Linked DNA regions of Drosophila melanogaster. The protein of the gene in region 2 interacts with the protein of the main gene of each other region in a biochemical or structural test. Each region holds a gene or a part of one and is shown on either strand. Other genes may lie near its edges.

Region 1 (3,757 bases), on a different chromosome or scaffold from region 2:
ATTAATCTCAGACATACAGATTCAAGTAACTTCTCGATCAACCAACAATAAAGTTAGAGTCTAATTTTTTTAAGTATTTTAATGTATTTACTATTTATTATTATATAATTTTTATGTAAACGCCAACATAATTTTCTTTTGGCTAGCTTCGATGTTAACATAGCAATATCTTTGAATGCAGCGTTTTAAATTCAAAATTAGATTACGACTTCTATCGATATTTAAAAATTATTTTTTCCACGCTCGCTCTTAACCGCAGAAACGGGCACGTCCGCAATTTCAAAAAGAGAGAATGCTATAGTCGAGTTTCCCGACTATCAGATACCCGTTACTCAGCTAGTGTGAATGCGAAATTGCACAATTTTTCTGGGATATCGATAGATAAAAGATAAAATGAGAAAAAAAATTAAAATATGTTGTCGGCAAATCGATATAAACTTAAATTTATAATAAATAATAAACTAATAAATTTATGAAAAAAATTCCCAACAATTTTTTACAAATGTGGGTGTCGGAGTTTTGGGCGGTTTTAGGGCGTTGGCAAAAAGTTTTTTTTTAGAAATCGATAGAAATGTAAAAGACTAATCAGAATGTGAAAAGAACAACACATTTTTCAAAAGTGTGGGCGTGATAGTTTTGCGCTGTTTGTGGACGTTAGAGTGGGCATGGCTACTTGCGTCTTTGTCTCTGTATGCTGAATCTAAACCTTCTAGCTTTTATAGTTCCTGAGATCTCGACGTTCATACGGACAGACGGATATGGCAAGATCGACTCGGCTATTGATCCTGATCAAGAATATACATGTATGTATATACTATATATGGTCTAAGACGCTTCCTTCTGCCTGTTACATTCATTTCAACGAATCTAGTAACGGGTATAAAAATGTTTATTATTTATTGATTAATCATAAAAATTATAATAATAGTAATTATAATAATAATAAACATTTTTATACCCGTTAATCGTTATTATTATTATTCTTTTTTATTGTTACCATAGTTATTATAATTATTAAAATTATTATTATTATTTTTATTATTATTATTATTGTTATTATAATAATAATAACAATAATTATATAATATATATATAATTATATGTAATTATATATAATTATTATAATAATAATAACAATAATTATTGTTATTTTTTATTTTTTTAATTATTTAATTATTATTATTTAATTGTTATTATTTAACTTACACATTTCTAAACATTTCATGGACTGTAATCTTAAAATTCCTCGTTTTAAACAAAAATGTAGATATTTTTCTATTGTAAGGCTTACTTCTCGAATATGCAAATAAAAACTTACGCAAGAGGAAAATATGTAGGTAACGCGTAGGCGTCCATTTCATTAAAGTTAGTCCACAACAAGAATGACGTCGTTTTATAAATTCAATTATCCTTTTAAATAATATTAACCGTCGGCGTAAACATTTTCAAAAGATTGGTATTTCAAATAACGGCACGCATAAATTTCCACTTTTGATCGGCAACTTAAACAATTTTAAGGAAACTCTTTGATTAAAAAGTTGGTTTTAAATTTTAATATTTAATATTCATATCACTTAAATATTATAATGGTGTGAGCTTATGCGCTCGGCTTCCTAAGTAATGAAGGGTATCGCCAAATCTCACACGTATATTCATAAGATTATCAGTCCCGAAGTAATATATTTATCACTAAATATTAAGTAGCGAACAATGAAAATCAGTTTTGTAAGACAAGTCAATATTTTTTGAATGCTGCGTCTTATTCCTATGTTTCTTACGAGTGGACTGAGCGACATTAACACTAGCTGTTGCAATGCTTCGTTAGTTTAGATGGAGCAGTTCGGATCTCCTCTCACACATGCCATTGTCCAAACACAGATACTTGTACAGATTCTACATAGATACGTGTAGGTTCACAAACATAAATACAATACAGTAACAAGTGCATTGGTGATTTAAATGTCTGTGTGTACCTACGGATCACGAACAGTCGGCGAAGGCGGGCAGATCGAAGATGGCCACACAATACATATACTCGTACGTGAGTTAAGATACTTTTCGATGCCAGTGCTGTTAATATAGATATTTTTACGCTAGTAGTTTGTGTCTCTCAGTGGGTAATTTTTGTCCTCGGCGATACAATATTATTTTTAAGCAAAAAACGCAAAAGTTATTGGCAACGCCTATCTCTATATACATATACACACATACATATATATATATATATAGATTAATCTTACAGTAGCTTGTACACCCGATTCAATCTTGATTTTGGCTATCTCGTTGATATTTGTACCCATTATACCCAGTATATCCAGTATATTAAAATACAAACATGTATTTGTAGTCGTATTTATCTATTATAGCCTTGCCCTTGCGAATAGCATTCTTGATGAAAACATACATAACTGTTTTCTATCCTATCAAGACTGGTTTGGTGTAATATTTGCGACACAGTATTTTTGCACTCAGTGTACTTAATGCATCGAATTTTTACCCCTATCTTATGGGTATATTGGGTATACTAGTTTCATTAAATAGTATATGATGTTAATAAGGTAGTAGACTCGGTAATCTAACAATCCAACAATTAAAATGTTTCCAACCCCTTGGGTATGTGGTTATAGCAATGTTGATGCTTAAATAAATGTTACTTCTGGCAGCGCTTAAATACTTGTTTATAAATTTTGAAAATTAATATTTCGATTGCAACACTTCGCCCCTTAGTTCTGTATTGGTCAATTCAACAACACTGTCTTGAACCAAATTGGATTTATAATTTCCGACACGATATTACGTACGGGCATAACTAGATTGATTCGGCTAGGGTCAATCAATTTCTTTTATCTGATATACGGCTTTAACCTAGACGACATTTTGCGGTCTAAAGACGATCTAGGTGAGTATAACGACAATGTTTTAAACAAAGCAATATAACAAAGTTTATAAATTCATGTCAATCAATGTTCTACTTTAATGATGGAAACGCGTCTATTTCCGAACTGCATTAGTAATTTTGGCTGTGTTTATTGAAAAAGGTATTTAATAGTAAAGACACACTACTTAAAGAAAAATACAATTTCGGAGACTTGTTTGTTCATAACGCGTGTAATTAAAAAAAAAAGCGACTTGAACTATTAAATATAATTGTGCCTAGTACAAGATAGCTTTGGCAAGCCACAGTTTTGATAAAGCTACATAATTAGTCGTCAAATTTAGTAAAATTTATCGAATAAAGTGGAGAGCATAATTATTTTCATTATGCCATTAATATTCAGTGAATATGGCTGTCCAAGAATATTCATATGTACTTTTTGGTGGCATCTGTCTTTTAACCCCGTCTTTAAAGGTGATTTTAACTAGTTAAGTTTTATATTAATGGGTAGGTGATGAAGTTATACTGATAATTTTTGGTGTTTTTGAAGAAATAAACTGATAATATATTTAATCTCAAAAAGAGGTATTTTGCAAACCTCCAAGGGTTTTGTAATTTGTGATCGTTCGAAGTGGGTATGACTTTTTTTTGGTACATCACTTTTAAAAGTCACTTTTAAAAGGGTGTGACAGTCTTCGGCAGTTTGTGGCCGTTATATACTTTGCATCGTATGTATATATGTACATATATTTTATACCGAACAAATATTTGTTATGACAAAATTTTTTGTATAAATACCATAGTATATTTTATATTATGTTACTATACTTTAATGCCTTCTCGCCCGTGTACTCGTAGTGGTTATAATATAAAATAAAAGAT
Region 2 (3,757 bases):
CTAACCCCTTCCCACTCCTCTTTCCCACATTCTGTGCGCTTTCTTTTACCGCTCACGCATTTCGATCGCTCTCTCTCTTTCTCTCTCTCTCTCTCTCCTCCTTTTCCCGACTCTTTATCACTCACTCTGCGGTTCTAACCTCAAAACCTGCCTGTGTTTGTTGTTGTTTTCGCCTTGGCTTTGATTTATTTAACCGAAATGTACCGTTTTTTATTTGTATCTCCCATGTTCTACACAGAAAGAAATCACTGTATAAGCACTGTAAGTCAAATTGAAATGTGGTATTAATTTTAGGAGCTTTAATTTGTTTACTGGAAGGCTAGCAGGGAAAACGCGGTCTTTCCTATTGGTAACTAAATATTTCCCAGGGTATCCAGCAGTTGTTTCGGACCAGCGGGTAAACACGAATTGATTACAATTGCAAAACAGCTGCACGTTGCGTTGGCGGCTGCCGAAAAGCTTCCGCAAAAAAACGCACTGGAGAACAAAGAAGATACAAAAAACAGTTGTTCCAGCAGGCGCCACAAAAGTAAAAAGCTTAAGTAAACAGGGAAGAGCAAATGGAAAAACCAAAAACCAGAGCAAAACCAACGGGGAAACCTCAGAAGGGGAAGGAAACTTGCAATTAATTGTCAAACGCTAATGGCCTCCGAAAACTAACGGCACTCCACGAATGCACTGCGAATAACGGGGCTGATAAGGAGCAGCCGATAGCGGGTGGAGAAGGGAAACTTGAACGCACAGTGGAACAAATTCCGCACTTACCGTGGCTTGTTTTTCTTATATTCCTTGTTTCCTATTCCGCTTTGCCCACTTCCTCTGCTGGCGACGCTGCTTTTCCTTCTTCTAATTCGACTGAAATCGAAATCGAATTTTTTAATTGGATTGATTCTGCCACAATAATTTTCATTTTCTTTGTTTTAGAGCCCAGACGTTGTTTTTGTTGTAGTTGCCACAGTCGCACACAAACACACGCACACAGTCGCACTTTTTGGGGCCACACGCAAGCGCATTTTATGCAATAATTTTAATAATACTGCATTGCTGCCATATTTCAGTTATTTTTATCGTTTATCTTCGAGTCGGTTATGCTGTTCTTCTCTGATTTTATGGCCACATTGATTAGCATCTTGTTGCCAATCAACTCGAGAAAATTAAACGAAACCAAACGGAACTCGGACTCTTATTAAAAAAACCAAACTTATGCGAGTCGTTTGCCCTGGCAATAGATTCGTGCACACTAGTCGTCCCGCCCGCACTCGCACGGTTTCTACCGCGAGCACGTTGCTATCCCTCCTGCTTCAGCATTTTCACACCAACACAAAGACGAGGGCACTCACTCACACACTCGCACTCTCAATGAGCACTGAAATGCTGTTGGGAAATTCGAGTTTTCCTGCGCGTGGTAACCGCCGCTTTTTCGCTCGCAAACGGGTCTGTCGATCCGAAACGCTACTGACCACTTACGTTTTGCATCAACGCTGCGCTTTCGTTTCAATTTTTCTGGCTATTTCACATAGATTTCGACGATTTTTTACAAATTTACGCCATCTTGATATTCGCAGTGTGACCGCGCCGATAATGAAGAAAATTACCATCTGGTATTTACTCCTCAGCGAATGTCTAGAAGATATGTAATTGTGAAAAACTGTGATTCATATACTAAGTTAAGATAGTCCAAAGTTGGTTTCGAAGTACCACATTAAGAAAATAGCGCAAGAGTATTGGAAAATCAAAAGAAAAACGAAATTATATCCTTGCAGCTAGCCATAAGTTCAAAGTTCGAGTAACTGGAAAGCTGTGAAATAGCCAAGTTGACAACGCTGTTTTTGTTATATGGGCACACTAGTTCTTACATAGACCCAGTGCTGCCAGATGGACGAAAAATATTTTTGAGCTGCGCCACCTAGCGGATGAGTTGGCGAAAGTGGTATCCAGGTGGCGCCCGAAACAAAAGGTGGCGCCTTATTTCAGAAATGCAATTGAAAATATCTAAAGTTATTGAAAGTTTTTGAATTATGCATTCAAAGGCCCATCTGCTTAATTTTATTTTCAAAGAGAATACAATAAACAATACAAAAAAAAAAAAATCATTCTGAAATGATATTTATACTAATATACAAATTTGATAACTCAATAATATGTAAATAAAATTTATGTCTTAATTTGCAATGTTCTTAAGAAAAGTTGTTAACTCTTTTTACAGGCTTGTGCTCCAAATTCTCGTGTAAATAGAAATTGAAAATGGATTTCATTGGCATGTCTTGCAGTTATAGGTAGCATGCCAATTTTGATGTTACACAGATGTATCGAAATACCTGAAACGTATACTTTTATTGCAGCAATACGAATAAAGCAAAACACGTGTGAATTCCATTAGTCCGCCCAACCGCTTTCCCCATTTACCCTCACATCGTGCATTTTCCGGCTGTGTAACCCAAGAAACGATGACATAAAAAAAGGAAGCAGATCCAGTTATGTATGCATATATGAGAAAATGTGTTTTTTTTTTTTTGGGAGTATGTGCCAAGGTGTGTTTCTTTTTAAGTGGGGGTAGGGTAGATAAGCAATCACTCGAAAATGATAACAAAAAAAGGGGTGAAAAGAGTGTAACGATTCGATATTGGGGCTGGCAATTTAAAATGAAATATAGACAAAATAAATCACATTAATTGCACTTGCCTACGATTTTAATTTTCCATTGCTGTATTTATATACATTAGCCAGAATGCATTTTTTTTATGCAACTATAGAAATCTCCATTTTCAATTTATTGGTGAATCGTTCAAGATCTTCGTAAAAACCCGCCTTTGTCTCCCATTGGCTGGGAAAAAGAGAAAACAAAGCAATCCAACGAGGCAATTGAAGATACAACAAGTAAAACGAGAAAACAACTCGTTTAACCGCTCACACACACACACTAATTCAAAGCATATCTTTCCCACTCACACACGCAAAGACGTGCGATCGCCGACGAATGAAAATCGTCGTTATTTCGACCGATGGTCAACTACCAACAAATAAATAACGAAAAAAGTAAACCAAATATGTAGGTGCGAAGCAATAAAAACCGAGCGAGACGCGTGTATGTAAATGATCCATTCAAAGAACACTGTAAAAAAGTATGCCACATTATTGGGATACTAAGACAATTTATTTCCTAATTTTGTTGTATTTTTTTTTAACACGCAATATAAACTTGTTTTTGATATTATTCTTTAAATAAAAATACGAATCAGACGACAGACTTAGCTGCCTCTGGTACTGGTTTTGAATAATATTTGAAAAACTTTAATCACTCATTTTTTTGCAGTGCCCTTTTGTATTTTTGCATATTTCCTGACTCTGCGCCTTGCTGCTTTTCTTGCTCGCAAAATATTTCCGCAACACATGTCGCATATCTGGGCGCTTCCAGCTCCTCGCGGCTCCCACTGCCCCGCCCCCTTTTGCACGACGCCCCTGGGCTTCTGCTTCTAACGCAGCAGTTAAAAAAAGCGCCATTTGGTTTCGTTTAGCAGTCGGCTTGAAGATTTTTGTATTTCCTTTTTTGCTCGTCGGCGGCTTAGATCAAATAATGCGATTTCATGGCAAGTCGCAAATTGTCAAGCGGTCGTCGCATCCGCCGCCACGCCCCCCGCCCACGAGCGCATTCAGATGCATTTCGACCTTTCTGCTCCAGTTTGATTATGAAACATAAAAAGTGGGGGAAAAATTAATTTGCCTGCGCTAATTTTTTTTCCTATACAGCGCAAATATT
Region 3 (3,757 bases), on a different chromosome or scaffold from region 2:
AGAGCGAGACGGCGCGACGCTGCATTCACGTGCAGTGCGATGTGCTTTTGCTCTCGCGTTGCCTCTGCCGCTCCGCCAACGGATGTCGTTATGCAGTCGCAATGCATCCCGGCTCCAGATTCGCAGATACGTACTTAGATACTTAGATACGTGTAGTGTGTAGTTCAGAACCATGTACCCTGTACCTCAGTAGAAGACACATTCTTTTCAGCAATTTTGCAATTACAAAAAAAGAACGCAGCGAAGAACTCATATTTCTCACAATGCACCACTATGTCGTAATCGGTGCATATAGCAAGCATTCAATTCGGCAAGGAGTTCGGTTTCAGCGATTGCATAAGACCCAGGTTCATTCTCTCCGATTTGGCTGAATCAACTAAACCCAAAAATACTACACAGACACACAGGCATTAGGGTGGACCCCATTCCAGGCTCTTCAGAGTTTCCATTAAAAGCAAAGATAACCAAATGGGCCAAGTAAACAAGCTGATAGTTGTTTCGACGGCCCAGAATTCAAGAAGAAAGAATTCCAAAGAAGGTGAAAAATTCCATTGGATAATACCATTTTTTTGCCCAACAAACTGGCTTCCAACCGACTGCTCAATCTGCCCAAATCCTTCAGTTTATACCCACCAAGGATTGTGTAACTCGCTGGTTAACCCAGTTCGCATCCCATATGTGGGTGAACTTTGACGCAGCAAAGCAAGAAGGCCAACTGGTCGAATCGAATCCGCCGCGATGCCTCTGGATTGCTGGATTACATTGGTCGTGCGTCATTCCGAGGATGTTAGATAATGCAGCACAGGAAGCGCGACAGACATGGATAACAGTCGCATAACCCGGGGGCAAGACATACTGGGAAAGACTGTGGGAAAATTCGGGGCACGAATGGGAACGTTGAGCTATTAATGGTGGTACTCTGTTTAGCTTGTGTAACGCGACTGCGACTGCGGCTATCCAAATCGTAGGGGTTTTAATAGACATTCCAAATTTGCCAGAAATTACTGCGCCCACGTGGCGTGTGTGCAGCAAATAAGCTGAAAATACCAAGGTGCAATGCCCAAAAGGGAACACGCTGCGTATGCGCAATATGCTCTGACCCAGATTGGATGCCGGGCATCGATTAGAGCTATGTAGCTACATATATGAATGAGTTCACTTCACGTAGGCGCAGTGTGCTGCAGTACTGCACTCCAGGTGACCGGAAGGCAAGCGGCTGCAGTGGTGCACCACGTTGCGTATGCGTATTCTGCGGCCAGAGTATGTTTGTTTGGCACTGCAAGGAAGGAAGTGGTGGGGCATTCCCGGAGCATTGTTCGGTAGGGTCAGGTATTTTGATGTGGGCTTTTGTTTACGCTTTGCTCGGTGTGCAACGTGCACTTATTAATAAACACTATATGTACATATGTGTAAGTGCGCCATTGGACGTTATGAACCGAGTTATTTATGTAAGCTGCCTGCCCAATGCGTTGTTTTGTATTGGCAATATGATAATGGTCTATCTAGCGCCTCTTGCTGAGATTTTTCTTTGCAGCTTTATTGCAACAACGTGACAATTGCACTTACACACTCGCTCTCGCTCTCACCCAGCTGCACTTTTTTGCGATTAGGCTGCGATTAGGCTGCTGCTGCCTTCTGTTTGGAATCTCACTTATGGTCTCACTTTTTGGCTGTGGCTATATGTCACTCAGCTCGATACACTTGACACTAACACTGGCACCAAAGAATAACGGTTTGTTTCTGGTCGAAATTAAAAAAAAAAAAACGAAGCTGTTTGTTTGCGTGATTCGACAGGTCGTTGTTGCGATTTATTTGGTATATGGCAATACTTTCTACTGTGCGACGAACGCGTTGTCGACCTTCTGGCTCTAAATTCGCACGAACACTAGTGCTCGCATCGCAAGCTCCGGTGTATAAGCCCCCGTGCACTCGCATTCCCAGAATTTTCTCACACTCACTCGCTGCTCTCCGCCGTCGCTGAGAATCGCTGGGAATCGCAGTCGCTCGGGAAATCGCTGGTCGGCTGAGATACTCGGACCCAAACATTAACCCTTGGGCGAAGCTTTTGCGCGAACAACAAAAGCAAGTAATTGGAATGCCAAAGACTCCCTTTTCCATAGCAAGAAACCCCATTTATAGATTGCTATAATGTTGGATATCTTTCTTTTTCATAGCTTCTATTGAATACTAGTTTCTTTTGGTTTTTATCTATGCTGTGGGATACGTTACATGGCACTGCCGATGCCAAGTGTCAATCCAAGCCCCACGCACCAACTGCAGGTTAAGGAAAGCTATGGAATCCCCTGCCTTTTTGGGGCTGCCTGGTGGGCGGCTGGCAGCACGTTTTCCGAGGGGTGTTTTCCGGGGAGCCGGCTGGGCGGCGGATTTGCTGGCCAAGTCACGCAGTTCGCCACGTGAGCGGCGGCTTTTCACTGCCTACGGCTTTCTCGGACGCTTTTTGCACTCGGACCCGTCCCTGCCCCACCATGAATTGTGCGAACTCGCACTGGCACTGGCATTTCGCAACGGCATTACTCACCCACCCACCTGGTCATCGTCCAAGTGCGGCCAGCAGTGCACCAGAGCGCCAGTCCGCAGTCAACGCAGTGCATCGGTCTAGCAGCTCGGCTCTCTAGCACGGATGAAAAGTTGAAAGTGGCGCCAAGCTTTTGGGGGCTTCTGTTTCCCGTTTGTCCCGTGGAAGCTCTACCTGGGCAGGTGTGCGCGGCGTGCGCTGAAACACGTACGGAGTGGGATGATAGCGACAGCTGATTTTCCCTGGCTTTTCCGCCTCCGCCCAGCTGGCTGTTGCGCGCTGTGGCCCACAGGTGGCGTTACACATACCTGCCAGCAGGGGATTCCCCGTCTTTCCACGAGGGGTTGATGAACTCCGAGCGGTCGAGTGGTTCGGTTCGATGCTGATACTACTGCTATGCAGTTACAAATGATTATTACTTGCAATTTCTGTGCATTGAATTTGGCTTTTAGTCTTCGCAATTGAAGGGTTAAAAGTTGAGGCATCTGATAAATAGGAAATGATTTTAGCTACCCCCTCATAAAAGCATATTTTTATGGACCCCACAACTTCTTTTTTTTTCGGAGCATTTTTTATTATCCTAATCCGATCGAAGTGCCCAAGGATGTCTTTATGCCTTATCAGCCGTCCCATCGGCCTGCGGTGGCTTTGAATAATTGAATTCTATTAATTGGCGGCTTTGCCGACGTCGAGTGGGTGTGAAAATCCATTTGACCCGGCACCCACTCCACACGCAGCTCCTTTGTGGCCACGTGTGTGGTGTTTGCCCAAGCTAGCCGGAGTTTGCTGGCATTTGCTGGGGCTCGCTCTTATCTATCGCGGCCACACACGTGCCACAAAGTCACAGACGCCTGCCCGAAAATGATAAAGTGCGTTCGAATTAGCCACCAAACTGCTGCTAATTTGATTTTGATGCTGCGACTGTTGACTTGCCGCACTTCGCCACTCCCCGTCGCGTTTTGATGTGCTGTGATTTCATTTGATTGCCGCTAATCGGATTCCGGGTGGTGATTTCGGGTGAGTGTCGGTCGGACTGTGAGCGGGATTAGAGCCGAGTTCCCAAGGCCCACCCTTTCAACGTCCAAGTGGCGTAGGTCCGAGGACCTGTGGACCCATGAATATGGATTGCGATTAGAGGATGGACGTAGCACATCAGGTGGCATTACTGGCACCACAATTCCGTCCCAGCGTTGAACTGTAAGCACAAACGGAGATACAAGC

The links.
Region 1: of the proteins of dco (region 2) and ci, one has a biochemical effect on the other in vitro, tested with the Drosophila melanogaster proteins (one study listed by BioGRID).
Region 3: of the proteins of dco (region 2) and per, one has a biochemical effect on the other in vitro, tested with the Drosophila melanogaster proteins (4 studies listed by BioGRID, with this or other methods).

What each region holds. Positions count from the first base shown.
Region 1 is NC_004353.4:54,513-58,269, forward strand, and holds the start of ci (cubitus interruptus), read right to left. Parts: upstream 1,820-3,757; 5' UTR 1,357-1,819; coding exon 1,319-1,356; intron 1-1,318. UniProt on the Drosophila melanogaster protein: Has a dual function as a transcriptional activator and a repressor of the hedgehog (Hh) pathway. The full-length ci form (ciFL), acts as an activator (ciA) while ciR, its C-terminally truncated form, acts as a repressor. Involved in segment polarity.
Region 2 is NT_033777.3:31,059,610-31,063,366, forward strand, and holds the start of dco (discs overgrown), read right to left. Parts: upstream 1,602-3,757; 5' UTR 1,468-1,601; exon of another isoform or gene 856-1,467; 5' UTR 766-855; intron 1-765. UniProt on the Drosophila melanogaster protein: Serine/threonine-protein kinase which is involved in the circadian rhythm pathway, viability and planar cell polarity.
Region 3 is NC_004354.4:2,683,710-2,687,466, reverse strand, and holds the start of per (period), read right to left. Parts: upstream 1,888-3,757; 5' UTR 1,567-1,887; intron 1-1,566. UniProt on the Drosophila melanogaster protein: Essential for biological clock functions. Determines the period length of circadian and ultradian rhythms; an increase in PER dosage leads to shortened circadian rhythms and a decrease leads to lengthened circadian rhythms.